Linked DNA regions of Diceros bicornis minor. The protein of the gene in region 1 interacts with the protein of each later gene in a pairwise test. Links are inferred from orthologs where the notes say so. Each region holds a gene or a part of one and is shown in the gene's direction. Other genes may lie near its edges.

Region 1 (7,739 bases):
CAGATGTTTCAGAATAGGGAAAAGACAATAAGCGACATTGTCACTAACACAGCCCTGGCAACACGCGTCACACATTAAATCATGAACGCCAGTTGGTGGGCACAGCGAGGCGAGAACAGAGAGCGCCTTGTTCCAGCGTGTCTATCTAATTTCAAACTAGTTGCTTAAGTACAAGCTTCTGTTCTGGTTATAGCCAAAGGAAAATTAAACAGTTGAAATATTGTAAATCTTGTCATTCACCCTGGATCACCAATCAGAACTAAATAGGACAGCTTTGAGCAAAGAATCCAAGCAAATCGTTAGCGCTCCCTGCAGATGGAAGCCTGAAGAACAGCAGGACCCACTCGTTAGGCTCTGCACTCCCTATGCCTTCCTCCCGGATCAGGTTCTAGCGAATATGATAACAGGGATGGGCTCTTCATTGCACTCGTCTATGCTCATGACTACGGCTCCGTAGAGTCCGGTGGCAGATGCCACATTCCACCCCTGGGACTGGCCCGGGGAGCCGTGTCTTCTTGGGCTGCGGCTTCTCTGAGGTTTCAGGCAGGTTGGGGTTGCCTCCCTTTTCCTCCTCTGGGTCTGTGTGATGAGCTAACGAGCAGATACATGTGAAAGCGCTTTGTTGACACAAATGAAGGGGTTACTACTTTTATTATTTTAGGGTGTGGAGTTGGTGGAGGAAAGAACATAAGTCAGAAGTCCTGCATTTGAATCCTGGATCATCTCATACGAGGTCCTCCCTTTTCTGAATGCTTTTTCTAAGTATCTTCCTGTGGTTTTTTCTTTTCCCCTTAAATCAGATGTTCCTTACTTTTGTGTATGTGTGCCACGAGACCTCTTTGGCATCCTAGTGAAGCTAATGAATCCCTTTTCAGAGTAATGTTTAATGCATAAAGCTAAATGCATAAATTTAAATGCATAAAATTAGAATGCTTAGGATTACAAAGGAAACCAATTATACTGATATAGTTATCAATATACCGCCAAAAATGTAATATTGTAATACATGTCCTTTATTAATGCATTACATACCAAGAGCTAGTGGCAGGTCTAATAACTACTGTAATTCTGAAGTAGCAGTGAGTGGACATCATACTTTGAGATATTTGCAACTGTTATGTGATATGAAGATATCTTTGATTTCTACTTGTGACAAGTCATAGGTATGGCTAATTCTACTGTGGATTGTTGCCTACATTTGCGATTGAAGGAAATGGTAAATTTTTGTTAGAGGTTAGTAAAAATTAAAATGAAACTTTTCCTCACCCATGTCCTGAATTCTGTCTGAGATGCTCAGAAACCCCTTGCCTTGGACTGCACTCTTTCCTCTTATGCTGTGTGCTCTTCAGGGGCAAACTCACTGCACCTGCTGCTGCCCTCCAGCTGCAATTTGCCTGTGCGTGCAATGACTCCTAGATATGTACCTCCTGTCCTAACAGGGCACTGGAGCGCCAGATCTGTGTCTCCTGCAGCCCGCTGCACATCCACCCTTGATGGCCCACAGGACCTCACACTCAGCCTCCAAAAGCCACCTCCTTGGCCTGGCCATCCCACCTCCCCTCCTCCAGCCTGCTCTTCCTCCTGTGTTCCCAGCTCTGAGGATGGCACTAACAGCCTCTGCATGGCTCTGGCCCCAAACCTAGCTTGAGCAAGGGAACTAGTGAGCACCGCTGCTGCCAGGATTACCACCTCAGCCTCCTTGATGATGTTCGTGACAGTGTAAAGTTGTACGTTTTAAAGCACTGGTCTGCCCTTCCCTTCACCTGGAATGTCTTCTAAATTTCTACTCACCCTACAAGGCTTGGTTCCCCCTTATTTATCTTTCCAACATGCACAGCTAGTTGCTTTCTGGTTTAAAATTTTGGTGGCGCCTCTTTGACTCCATGACGTGACATCAGAAGACTCCTGCCTCCCTCGCAGTGTTTTCTTCTGCTGGTCCCCTAGCCTCACCAAGCTTCCTTGGTCCCTCCAATGGCCTTCTCTCCATTTCCCCCTTTGCCTTGGCAGGCCCAGTGAGGGCCCTCTGCCTGGGGATCCCTTACCTGCCATGTCGCCTTCAGGTCTCAGTTCTGTGGCTGCTTTGCTGAAAAGCCTTTCCCAGCCTGTGTCACCATGGGGACTGCTCACAGAGCAGTTCTTGTGCAACTATCTCCCCATCCCTTTCATTTGACCAGAGTCTGGCAGGGTTTCACAAGTGGCGTGCACTTGGAGGACAGAATTATTAAAGTACATGGTCAGAAGCATTGACTTCAGAGCCAAATGGCTTGGGTTCTAATCCCAGCTCCACCAGAGCTGTTTGATCTTGGCAACATACATACCCCTTAGGTGCCTCAGTTCGCTCATCTGTAAAACTAGTGTAATAATAGAGGTGTGAGATTTAAATGAGTTGATGCTTGTAAAGCACTTCAGAACCATGCCTAGCTTATAGTGAGAGCTTAAATATTAGCTAGTATTCTTAGTTTTAGCTTCAGTAGTGTGGCTTGGGCTCATTTAAAAGTCACATCCTACTATACTTTTATTTTTGCTGGAGTTTTATTAGACTGTAGTGTAATTTGAAACCCAATATTTAACTTCAGCTCCATTGAGGTTGATATGGGATGTTGATTTTAGCAGAAATAATTTATATGAGACAAAAGGAAATACTTTTTAACAGAAAGGTAGGAAAAATCCTGGGGATACAGCCTTTTAACAGAATGATGGAGACATCGTCCCACCGGTAGTTATATAGTTGAATTGGGGATTTATCCGTATTTCTTCCATTTCAAAGATGACATTGACCTCACAGGAATTTTCCTTGCAGCTCTTTGGGTAAAGGAGAGATCAATATTATTTATCAGAGGATTTCTCTGAGAATGCAAATCATCATATAAGTTTGCAAACCAGATCTACATCAAAGAGATGGTTTCGAATGTAATTACTTTATTTTTGCATAAGTATTTTCATATCCTCTAGAAATATTTTGCTCTTGTGGGAAAAAAACTTTTCAGGATCCTTACCACAAATTGTATGTGACATTAATGTGCCCTTATAACTGATCCTTCTCTTCCTTTTTGTTTTTCTTCCAGCATCCAAGTACATCATAATACTTCCCCTGAGGTTTCCAGCCTTTTCTTGGTTTTGCCACCAGGTGGCGCACTGACTCCTTTGTAAGGCACGGGCCGCATGCCTTGAGGCTAGTTTTCTCACTGAGGTAGGTGACTGGCTTGCCTCCCTCATTCTAAAGTGACCCCGTGAGAAACTGTGGAGCCCTGACCTGAGAGTGGGTGGGGGAGGCAGGCGGGGCGAGTGGTAGACCTGAGGGAGTCTCCAGGTTTTTCATGCCTGATCTTGTTGAGCTAATATGCTAATGGCTTATTTTTCATCGGTTTTGAGTAACTTGAATTTTACAAGAAATACACGTAAATCTATTCTGCAACAAGTAAATCAAGTTTTCCTTGGACTATTTGGTCTGATCTTATGGTTTAGAAGAAACAATAAAGTGAGGTAACCTTGACCATTATGTTAATTAGGTCTTATTTAAATAAAATAGAAATCATGGAGGCAAACCATTAGAATTAAAACTGTTCTTGGAGTTGAAAACTAGGGGAAAGTTGTGTATACTGTGAACACATTATGTTGAGTAGCAGAGCATGGATTCTTATTCTTTCTTAAGCAATATGCTGCAACATTATTGACTGTTTTCAGATAAAAATGCCTTAAGGAAATTATCAAATACATTTTTTTAGAATGAAAAATAAATTTAAAGTTCTAACTTTGAAACCATAGTGAATGATATTAAGTTCCATTTTAAACTATAAAAAAACTACAAAAAATATTTATCTTATAAATATAACCTAAACGTAGATGGTGAAACTGAATTATGAGTGATTTTCAGATTTACAGACACCAAGTCAGAATCAGAAGTTAGAAGGTGCTTTGATAAATTTTCCCCGTGAACTTCATTAATTTTTAGACTTTAGTGGTGAGTGAGAGGCTTATTTAATGCTATGCCCCTGCCAAAAAATCGGAAAATAGTGATAGTATGGGACTTTGCTTCTCAGAAACAATAACTTCACGTGTCCCTCTTACGCAATGTGAAATCACAGTGCTACATGTCCACCACTGGCACCCAACTCCAACAACAATATAAAACTCATTTTATGGCCCAATGGAGGGCAGACTGTATGCCTCTTAAAATGAATGATTCACTTTAATACAGTGTCTGGGGGAGAGAAGGGAGTGAGAGTTCTTCTAGGGGAGAAAGGGGAGTACGAGTTCTGTTTGTTTAAGTTTGTGTTATAGTTTTCTTGGGCAGCAGTACAAAAGTGAAGCCTGAAGCGTTAGCTCATTCTGTACATGAGTTTTATTTCTCACAGCAGCCTAGTGTCTATTTAACATACGGGGAGTGGTTTCAAGTTCATTACCACAGCTTATAGGCTAAAGTGCTTTGTGGGCTTGGCTGTGACTTAAATTGCCTTTAGGGAGTCGGCCAAAAACGGGGTTGGGAACAGACTGCTTTCCCTGTGTCTGTGGATTCTCAGGGTGGTCAGATTTTTCCCCTCTCCCTCTCGGCTATCAGCTGCTTTGGAGACTAGTTTCATTGTGAGAATTCTTTCTTTAAAGCAAAATGGAGCGACTGCTTTCACAGGGGTGCCAGGTTAGTAAATAACATTTTGAACTTGCTGCTGCATGTGTCACATTTTCTCTCTGTGCTCAGGGGCAATGATGTGACAGTTAGCATTGCATTTGTGCTGTTGCTGCGTTCTTTTAGAAAATAATGCTAGTTCGTTGATCCTGCCGAGGTTTGGGGGTTATGATTCTTCTTATAATATATGCATTGTTTGACAATATTAAACGCAAGTGGAAGCCAAGAAGAAATAACATATATGTGTTGGATTTGCAGTTACAGGTTTGGACTTGCTTGTAAGCATTTTCAGTTCCTTTTTTAGAATTACTTTCTTTGTGTCCACCCATTAAATCTTCTAGGCATAAGTCTGATTTTATACACAGGTGATTTTGGGTTTTTTGGACATTAGGCAGCCGTGTGTTGCCCCCGCTAGCGGTGTTGTCGCTCACACACTCATGCATGCTCGTCTCATGCATGGTTTTACCTTGGGCCTACTCCTTATAGTTACAATGAACCAGAATATCATTTTCATTTTCTCTTCGAAAAGTCTGGCATTTTTCTAGAATGCCTCATAAAATACCTGCATAGCAGTTTATGTGGGCAGAATGTACAGGTGGATCAAGCTGGACTGAATCCCTTCCTTAGTTGTCACTGTTTTTATTCTCAAGTGATTCCTCAAAATCTGAGATCACTCTAGGAGTAAATATGACTGTAAAAATGGAGTGTGGCTTATAAAAGATAAAAGTATTGCTAATAGTAATAAGATGAAATTGTCAATAAAATTAAGTACCAAGAGAATATCTTCCTTAATTTCATCAACTTAAAGATCTAGAGAGCAATTTTACTTTTGTTAATTTGTCACCAAAGCAATTCGGCACGAAGTAGTTCCATAAGAACAGTAGTTCAATTTGATGATGTTTTAATGTTTGCAGCACTTTATGAAATATTCTTGCTTTTATGTTACTTTAAGGACGCTTCACTTCAAGGGAATGTACTAGTGTTTTAAAATATGCTAATATGCTTATGTCGTTGCCATTTTATTCTCTTCTTTTTCCCGCTTGGAAATACAGTGTTTCAGAAAGGGTCTGTTCTCTCATGTTCTCCTCTGTTTAAAAAAATAAAATTGAAGGGAAAGGGAGACAGAAATAGGTACTTAAAAAACAATCTTTGAGGCGATTTGCTAAACTTTAAGGATCCCAGTTTCCATCTCTAGGGCTGAGGCTGGAGTTGTGCAGTTATGGCTGCCTGCCAGTCAGGCTTACCAACTTGACCCCTGCGTACCCCCAGACGCAATTGTACAGCTGTATTACCGCCCCCGCCTTTAACAGCAGATCCACTAGGCCATTTGAGCTTACCAGGAAAAATCAAAGGTGGCTATGACTTGCTTATTTACGCTATTACTGCATATATGTGCTATTATCAATTATTAAATGCTGTTAATTTAAATTTTAAAGGAAGACTTGTCAATCTGATTGTAGCTGCCCAATGATTTTAAAGAACAATGTTAAGACATTTTACTCATTGATTACTTGTTTGTGTTTAATTGGCATGGATAAAAGTCTTAAAAAGCCCACATAAAGCTCATTTATGTCTGGTAGATCTTAGTTTCGGTGTTCCCAAGTGCTTCACAGCCTCTTCTTCAAGAGATGATAATAAAACAAAATAGCATTGATTAGAAACTGAAATAAACAATGTGGCCAAGGATAGAATAAGAGGGGAAACTCCCTAAAAACCAGATTTTAGGGTTTTCCCAAAGAATATTCATTAAAATAAGTTTCTACCAAAACTGGGGAGAAAAAAAAAGACTGTATAGTAGTGTTCAAAATCTGTCATTTTGGGATAAATCTTATTTCTGATTCTAGGTTTGGAACATGTAGCACTGCAATTCTGATTCTCATCTTGCTGGACTGGTCTAGTTTTGTTACATCTCTGCCTTTTGGCTAAAACCATGTAGAGACAGGCATTTTTCTCGTTCCGTACCATCTAATTTTAAGCTTTGAGCTGATTAATTTTTATCCAACATGCTTTCTTGTTGATATTGCAAGTATCTAGATGTCTCTTAAATCTTACATGGCTTATGAACCTAGCTGATGATCTAGGAGCATGTGATTCTTATTTTCCTTTAAAGTGAATCTGAGTTTTGAAGTTGAAAACAGATTCTTAGGCAAACTATTTCAACGTGAATTGGCCCACACCGGAAACATTGGGAAAATTAAATGGCAGTAGAAGATAAGGACTCTGAGGGAAGAAATGAATAACTAGGAGTAATTGTGATATTAAAAGTGGGTTTTCTGACTGCTGAACCTTGAAAATTTTTCACCTATCCACCAGTTCCATTCACACCCCAGAGCATTCGTTCCCGTTCATAGTCTTGATCTTCACGGTGCCTGTTTCGGGAGGTGTCAGCTCTTGATCTGCAGTTTCTGGCCTTTGTAGATTCATGTAATGGCTACAGTGAACAGTGCCACCCCTGTCTTTTTCAGGCCTACCCCCCGCCCCGCCCCCGCTTCTTCCTGCCATTAACCCTGCTCACTGAAGGTGCCAACGTGCATGGGTCTTGTGATTACATATCAAAAGGTGGGGACAGAAAGCAGGGTAGACTATGATGTCACCCATCCCAGGAGTTTACTATTTCAGTAATAACAGTAAATACTAACTTCCCAAAGGGATTGCAAAGGCTGAGCTGATCTGACCAAGGACCTCCCCAGTCCCATCTTTCCTTCTGAAGAACCCAATTTAAGTTTGACTTTCTGGCATTTCTGGGGGTGATGGTAACAGTAGTCATGGCAGGAGTAGTAGAGGTGGTAGAAAGAGTAATAATAATACCCAATACTCAGAAAACGTTTCCTAAGGGCAGTCCCTGTACTAAGCCTCTTATTTTATCCTCACAACAAGCCTAAAAGGTCAATTGTCTTTATTATCCCCATTTTGCAGTTGAGGAAACTGTCCCAGGAAGGTTAGGTAATTTGTCCCAAGTTGTAGCAGCCAGTAAGCAGCAGGATCACTATTGTGCCTCAGAGAGGTGCTGTGGTGGGAAATTGATATGAGAAGTTGACGTTCTTGGGCAATATAATCCAATATTTGTTATGAATGAGAAGCAACCATGTAAATACTGATGTCTGTGCTGCTCTTC
Region 2 (7,793 bases), on another chromosome or scaffold:
TGAGGGCAGAAATCTTCTCATTCACACATAGCAGGTGCTTCAAAAATGGTTCTTGAGTTGAATTGAATAAGCCACAGTCTTTGCTTTCCTATAATTCTCAGTCTAACTGGGGAGCCAGGTATTCTATTAACTACAAGGCCAGATCTGATAAACTCTATAATAAAGATACAAATAAAATGCTAGGAAGGCACAGAAATCACAGCGTTTTCTGCTTGAGAGAATCAGATAAGAGTTTAAAAGGAGTGGCATTTAAAGTGGAGATTGTACAATGTATAGGAGTTCTACAAGTGAAAATTACGAGAAGTGATTTCCAAATTGATGGGAAAGTTAGTGCAAAGCGTCAAAAGTAGGAAAATGAATATCAGGTTCAGGAAAAGGCAAGTAGTTTTTTATGGCTTGAGAGTCTAGAGATCTCTGAGGATGGTGCTGGAAAAGCAGGTTATGAAAAGCCTTGAATGCTGGAGAGTCACTGACTTTATATTCTAGTCCAGGAAGAGCCACCAGTGGTTTTGCATCAAGGGCATGATAGAGAGGTCTGTTTTATTATTATTTTTTAATTTTTTTATTTTTTGTGAGGAGATCAGCCCTGTGCTAACATCTGCCAATCCTCCTCTTTTTATTGCTGAGGAAGACTGGCCCTGGGCTAACATCCATGCCCATCTTCCTCCACTTTATATGGGACGCCGCCACAGCATGGCTTAACAAGCAGTGCATCGGTGTGCGCCGGGATCCGAACTGGCGAACCCCGGGCTGCCGCAGCGGAGCGCGCGCACTTAACCGCTTGCGCCACTGGGCCGGCCCCGAGAGGTCTGTTTTAGGAAGCTCAGCATGTCAAGAGGTTGGAAGAAAGATTGAAGGGAGAAGGTCTATTTGCCAGTCCAACCATTCTTCCTACCAACCATTGTTTCTACTCCCACTGTCACTATTCTAACCTAGACCTTCACCTGGACAGTTTCTCTGGCCATTGACAGATAAAGGGAAGGGACAGAGGATGTAGGGAAGGATGTACAGAGTCCAGTGAGGGGAAGGATGGGTCCAAAGACCTGAGTCAGGCTTAGCTCTGGTCCCCTGTCTGTGCCATGTCCTAGGCGGACAGTGTATGGTTGGAGATGGACGACGAGGAGGACCTGCCTTCTGCTGAGGAGCTGGAGGACTGGCTGGAGGATGTGCTGGCAGGCGAGATCAACACAGAGGATGATGACGAAGACGATGATGATGACGACGATGATGACTAGTTGCTGTGGCAACCATCTCCCAGCCCCGCCTGCTCTCCTCAGGCTCCCTCCTGCCTTCCCTGTGCTTCCCTGAGCTCCTCCAGGGACACCAGGTCATTCTCTGCCACAGGGCCCATTGGGGTTTATATGCTGAGTGCTGAGACTCTGATCCCCCTCACCTGATGAAGAAAGGAGCTACTTTTCCCTAGGTACCAGCCCAGCTATCTCATCTGACTTCTGTTTCCTGTCGCACAATGTCCCTGTATCTAGTATTTGTTTCTTCCATCACTCCCTACACTCTTTCTTGTGATTTTCCTCTTGCCATATCTGTGGGCCCCCATCTCGATTCTGTTCCCTCCACTTGTGCACACTCTCCCCTGACTCTCTCAAATCCTATATCCTTCTGACTGTCCTATCCCTGGCCAGGAGGAAGGGGGGGTACTTTGTCTGGGGCTGCATCTCACCAATCTCTTGTTAATGTATTTGGGTCAAATGAGAGGCCTCAATAAAGGATCTGGGGCAGCATGAGCAAGTGTCTGCTGATGAGGTCTCACCCCTATGCCAGGAAAGAGGCAGCCAGAGACTGGGAGATTTAGGTGTGGGTGACTTGTTAGGGTACTGTGGTGGGGGGGTTGGGGCTCCCTCCAGGCAGTTATCCCAGAGAAGCTTGGATTATTTATCTGCCGCAAGTCAACAAGCCTTTTCTGAACACATGGTGTTTGTCCAGCACCACTATTAGGCTCTGGGAGAACAGAGAGTGCTGGGCCTGTCCCTGCTCTCGAGCTGTTTAGCCTCACTGGGAAGTCAAGACAAACACACTCAACAATTGAAGAAAAATACAAAGCAATATGTAATTAAGTGATTATGTGCTGCTTGATAGCACCCTCCCTGCAGCTCTTATTGAACGTCGAGACTGAGCCCAAATAACACTTCCTCAAGGAGGCCTTCCCAGAGGTGGCCCCTCCTGCAGTTTCCTCCTCTGGGTTCACACTGCACTCTCTATATACACCTCTATTCTGATATTCAGTTTGTTCTATCATAGTTCTTCATTTACACGTCTGTCCTCCCCACTAGACTGTGAGCCCCTTGAAGGCAGGAACCCAGGCTTTTCTCTGTTTCCACAGGGCCTGACATGCAAAAAGTAGTCCCTAATAAATGCTAAAAGAAGGAACAAATGAACAGAATGGGCTCAGAGGAGAGAGATCAGAGTGGGCTTTGATGGCTTCAAAAAGGAAGTGAGCATTTTCTAGGCCTTAAATGAAGAGTGGGATTTGACTGGGGGCAAAGGAGTTGGGGAGGGGACATTTCAGTCGGTGGAGACATCAAAAGCCCTGGCAGAATGTGTGTGTCATATTGGGGCCCAGAAGAAACCAGAGAGACAAGAAGAGGAGTTCAAGTGATGGTCATGAGGTTGGGTGGGCATAATGGGGCTCAGCTGTAGAGGTGTTTGCATTTAATCCTGTAAGAAGGGGGGAAAGGGCAAAATTTAATCTGGCAGTGATGAGCAGGATGGTTATAGGGAGGGGAGCTGATGGAGATATCAGAGGCAGGGAGCCCAACTCATATAATCAGAGACTGTTATAATAATCGGGGTGAAGTTGGGAGAATATGGAAGTGAGTGGTGGTCACAGGAATGGAGAGGAAATGTTGAGTTTTGTACAACAGGGGTCCCCCTGGACCTCCTGTAGTTCCTGGCAGGAAGGATCCACATGCTCTCCAGCACAGCCCAGGCTGGGGTAAATATAAAGGAGTCAGGGTGGTGGAACCAAGCAACTGAATAAGCCCATAACTAATAGACGTTACGGTTTTCATGGATCAGGTATAAAAGGGTTGCTGCGAGACTTAAAGGATTTATAAGCATGGAAGAATGAGACCTGAGGTTACAGAAGTTTTCACTCACCCTCTACAGACAAATCCAGGGAGTGTTCCTAGAGAAGGTGGCAGGACTGTAGAGTAGAAACCATGTATTCATCCAACTTGTACCCATGTAATAAATGTTTAATATACATTATGGGCACTGGGCCAATACAATAGTATTATGGAGCTTACTCTCTAGCATAGGTCAGTGAAAGGCCTCGGACTAATATCTCATGTGTTTTAAGTACCCATCTATGCCAGGCCCTAGGAGACTGACGATTTCTAGATCTCAGAAGAACTCTGTCAGATAGGAATCAGCATCACCATCTTACCAGAGAGGACACTCAGGCTCAGGGGCATAACGTGCCCCAGAAAGGAGCAGAGCTAGCATGAGCCCAAGTCCCCTGTACCTGGTTGCCTCTGGGAGACCTGAACCTTTCACTGACTGTAGATAAGTCATTTAGCTTCTCCAAGTCTCAAAGATGGGTCAACAAAATCATTTTTGGCGCTGCAACACAGAACAAATGTGATACACACAAAGGTAAATTATGAGAGTGCCTTACTATCAAAGGGGTAGTGACAGGGTGCACTGGGGGAGGAGATGGTGAAGAGCAAAGAAAAGGGCTGTGGAACCCCAAAGCAGCAGGAGCTGAGCCTGAGCCTCTTCGAGGAGCAGTGTAGACCCAAGAAATGAGAGGCTCACCTGAGGCTTCCTGAGGGGTCTCTGCCAGGTGGGAACTGGCATGAGGCCAGGGGGTTCCCAGAGGTGGTACAGACACTGATGGGACTCAGACCTCTTCCCAGGCCAGACTCTGCCAGAGTTGAGGTGGGACCCCTTAGGCTGGAGGTGGGGGTGAAAACAGATGCTTCCCTGCTTCTTCCTTCCCTCTTTCAGTCTGGCTGAGAATCTGAGGGAGGAAAGTCCCTGGGGTGGAGGGGAAGTGAGAGCTGCCATGCTGGGCCTGAGCAGGGGCAGAGCTAGGAGACAGAGCTAAGTGGCTTTGCAAGTTGTCTATATTTGCATGCTGAGCTCACTGCTGCTCTTCTTCTCCCCAGAAAATAAAATTACATCATGGTAGGGGGAAGGCTGGAGGGTGGTATATTTGGGAAAGGTGAGAGGAACACAAGGGGGCCGCTGGAATCATCCTGGAGAGAAAAAGATCCATGGCTCCAGGTCAAGGGAAGGAGGTCCCATGTTGCGTCTGAGCCCCAACCCCTACTGCCAACCCCACCACCCAGTGAGGGTAAGTCTGAGCTCCCCTGACTCATAAGGGGAGGGAAAGAGGTTTTCCAAATACCAAGTCTAAGAGGACCCAGAGGTCAAAGGCCTTCCAAACCCCTAAACCCTAACTCACTCTGTGCCTCCCAGGGTCCTAGCCACTGTGGCCACCGAAAGGTCATAAGGGGAGGGGACTGTCCCATCGGGAAAGAATTAAATCTGAGATTTGGGTTTTGCGGTTTACGGAAGAGGCAGCGTACCTACTCTAGCCCTCCCCCATTTCTGTCCCCCATGCCAGGAGCCTTCCAGAACCCCAGCCCCCGGCTGCCTCCCCTCCCCCTCCCGCCGCTCCCCGCCCCCCGCCCCTCCCCGGCTCTGACATCACGGGCCGGCCGGGTGGGGTGAGGCGGCGCTGGGCTCGGGCTCGGGCTCCGCGGGCGGAAGAGGCGGCGGCGGCGGCGGCGGCAGAAGCGGCGGCGGCGGGAGCTGAGGAGGAGGCTCCGGACGCTCCTCAGGAACCGGGGACACCCGAGTGCCCGCGCCCTGAGCGCTCAGCCCCGGAGGCGGTGAGAGGGCGGAGAGGAGATGTGTCGCGGGGAGGGGGCAGATTTGGGGTCTGGACTCGGAGGGGCGTCGATCCGGGACGCCCCGGGCCAGATGGGGAGCGGGGGCCCCGGACGGGTCCGCTCTGTGTCAGGCCGCACGGGCTCCGTCTCTGTCGGTGCGTTCTGAGCGCCGAGAGGGTGCTGCAGGCGGCGTGGCTTTGGCCGCCCATTCCATGCTGAACGGCAGTTTGGGAGTCGGACCGGGGCCTGGGGATTAGGATGGAGCCTGCTTCCCGCCCAGCCGGCTCGGCCGAGCCAGCTCCCGCCCCTCCCTCCCCTTCTCTGGCTCCGGCCTCGCCTGGGCTGGCGGTCTCCCGGCCCAGCCCTGCCTCAGTTACCCGGGCTGCCGCCCCTGCTCCGAGGGCTCAACCCGGCTGCTGGCACCATGTGCCCTCACGCTAGCCTCTGCACCTGGGGAAGAGGTGGAATTGGGGAAGGCTTGTCCGGAGGTAAGGAGGAAGGAGCTGGGGGTGTAGAGGAGTGAAGTAGCTAACTGTAAAACCCCTAATTAATTTCATATAATCCATGTCAAAACTGACAGAGACACACACACCTACAAGAAGACACACACCAGTACACACGGTGACACACACCCATGTGACTCTTAGACACATCGTCTCGCACACAGCAAATCACAAACGTCGCTGCACTACACATCCAACCCCCCACCTCACCCCCTCAGTCTCCCATGTGTAAGTCTTCTTGGAAGAACAGCAATCTAACAGGACAGCTGAGTGGGGGCCACTATCCCCAAGTCCACCCTAATTTTCCGGGCACCTTCTCCCAGCCCTGGGCTTCAGATCGCCTCTCTTTAAAACAGTGGGAAAAGATGCAAGAAAATCTTTGCCTCACTTCAGGACAGGGAGACAGGATCTTGAGTGCGAGTGAGCCTGGTGCTCTGAAACTGGGTGAGTAGGTTGGGTATGGGCTGCTGGTGGCCTCTCTTGCTGGGTCCAGTTAGAGCTAAGGGTGCTGGGAGTGGCTGGTTTCTGGGCATCAGAGTGGCCAAGGGATGGAGGAGGGGGTGGAAGAAAGGGAGAGGGAGAAAAAGAAAGAATGAATATTAGTCAGCCAAGGATGGAGCCCAAGTCAGAGAGAGAGAATGAGGAGAATGTGTGTGAGAGGGAGACAGATGGAGAGAGGGACAGACAGACAGACAGGGACAGGGACAAGGAGGAAGTGAGAGACCGAGATGGTCAGAAGAGTGGGAAGAGTGCTGGGAATGGACCACAGAGGCTCAGCAATCAGGGAGGATGAAAGCAGGGTGGTGGTGTGACCACAGGGAGTCAGGGGAAACATGCTGAATATGTAGAGAGTATGTGTCTGGCCCCCAGGCTGTCAGAGCGATTAGCTTTAATTGCTCTTCCCTTTGTGGTTAAACACTCCATTGGGGAAATTGCCAGAGATGCCCTAGGCTGTCGGCTGCCCTGGTTGCCTACTTCCTCACTTCCCTGACACCTGTGCCCATCACATGTACATGTATTGTCATGCATGAAGGAGAGGGCCACAGAGTCACACCCTGCCATGCCATCCCCTCACTCTCTCCTGCAGATCGTCACACACAATGCAATGGTGGATCACCAACCTGTATGCAGCCAACCAATCCAGGCCCCTCCCCACCAAACTTACTCTACCTCTTTACAGCATGGACGCTCACTGCCTCCTAACAGTATAGCAGCTCTGAGTCTTCAGATGGGGACCACTGAGTCACAGAACCCAGGAGTCCTAAGTATTCATGGCTACCATCAAGTGGGATAGAATGAAAGCTCATTGAAAGGAAAGGAGGAAAAGAGAGACTGGGAGACCAGGGAGAAAGGCAATGGATGAGGAAGACAGAGAGATGGGAGAGAAACAGAAATAGAAGTAGGCAGAGACAACCAGAGGAGTGGAGAGTGGCACAGGCCCATCCCCCTCCTCGCCATCAGGCAGCCCTTCTCTGCCCTGCCTGATCCAATGCCAGGTGTCTCCTTATGCCCCCATCTTGGGTTTGGTCTTTCTTGTCTTAGACTAAGGGCTAAAGGCTTAGCCCTGTCCCTCTGCCCATAGGCAACCCATTTTGCTTCTTGGACTGAACCGAACATTTTGAGGCCCAGGTATCCTGCTTCCCCTCATTCCCAGACTGACTCTGGAGCCTTAGAGCCCTCTTCTTCCTTCATTACAGGAATAAACACACTCCCCACTCCCCAAAGCTGAATAGAAGCTAAGGGAAGAAGTCAATTGAGTATGACATTAAAGGAATAATTAGGGATGAACTACAGGACTGCTTGAATTTGGGAAAAGATAAAATTTAAAATAGGAATCTTGCACTCTTCCCCTCCCACCCCTCTGCTTCTCCTTGATTACCACCCCCTTACCCTCAACTCCAAGCAACAAGACAGACAGACTTGAGTGTCTACAAGCACCCTCTTGCCCATTGCAGGGATCTCCAGGTCCTTCCAGCTGTGTGAGATGGCCCCTCCCCTCAGCATTAGGCAGCTGCCACAGATGTGAGGGAAGGAGGGGCAGCAGCTCCTAATATTCAGGCTTTCTTCTTAAGTTTACTGAGGATTTGGAACCAAATGCTAGGGAGAGGGGATAATCATGAATTAACGTCATAATGCACAGAAATTCTTTTGGTGCTACCACCTCTTCCACAGGTGGTTATCCCATTTTGCTAGGCTTCTCAAAGTACCCCCAGGGCCGGTCTCTTCATCCTCCAGTGCCCAGAGAGCACCCACCTGTCATGCTCCCAACTCCTACCCTAGAAGGTCAGTATATAACGATCCTTACCTCCTGCCCCTCTTCCCCAGCATCCTCACTTGGTTTGACCTTTGTCAGGGTTCTGCCTGGGGCCAGCTTGGAAGGAGAGGGAGGAAGGAAGGAAGGTGTGAGGAAGCTGTGAGCAGAGCACAGAATGAT

The links.
Region 2: the proteins of PLD1 (region 1) and PEA15 interact in a two-hybrid assay, tested with the Homo sapiens proteins (2 studies listed by BioGRID). The link is inferred for Diceros bicornis minor from reciprocal best matches to the Homo sapiens genes PLD1 and PEA15.

The regions. Positions count from the first base shown.
Region 1 is NC_080754.1:50,325,565-50,333,303, forward strand, and holds the start of PLD1 (phospholipase D1), read left to right. Parts: upstream 1-4,499; 5' UTR 4,500-4,636; intron 4,637-7,739. UniProt on the Homo sapiens protein: Function as phospholipase selective for phosphatidylcholine. Implicated as a critical step in numerous cellular pathways, including signal transduction, membrane trafficking, and the regulation of mitosis.
Region 2 is NC_080743.1:64,879,776-64,887,568, forward strand, and holds the start of PEA15 (astrocytic phosphoprotein PEA-15), read left to right. Parts: upstream 1-4,744; 5' UTR 4,745-4,856; intron 4,857-7,793. Other genes in the region: CASQ1 (calsequestrin-1), read left to right, coding at 1,089-1,235. UniProt on the Homo sapiens protein: Blocks Ras-mediated inhibition of integrin activation and modulates the ERK MAP kinase cascade. Inhibits RPS6KA3 activities by retaining it in the cytoplasm. Inhibits both TNFRSF6- and TNFRSF1A-mediated CASP8 activity and apoptosis.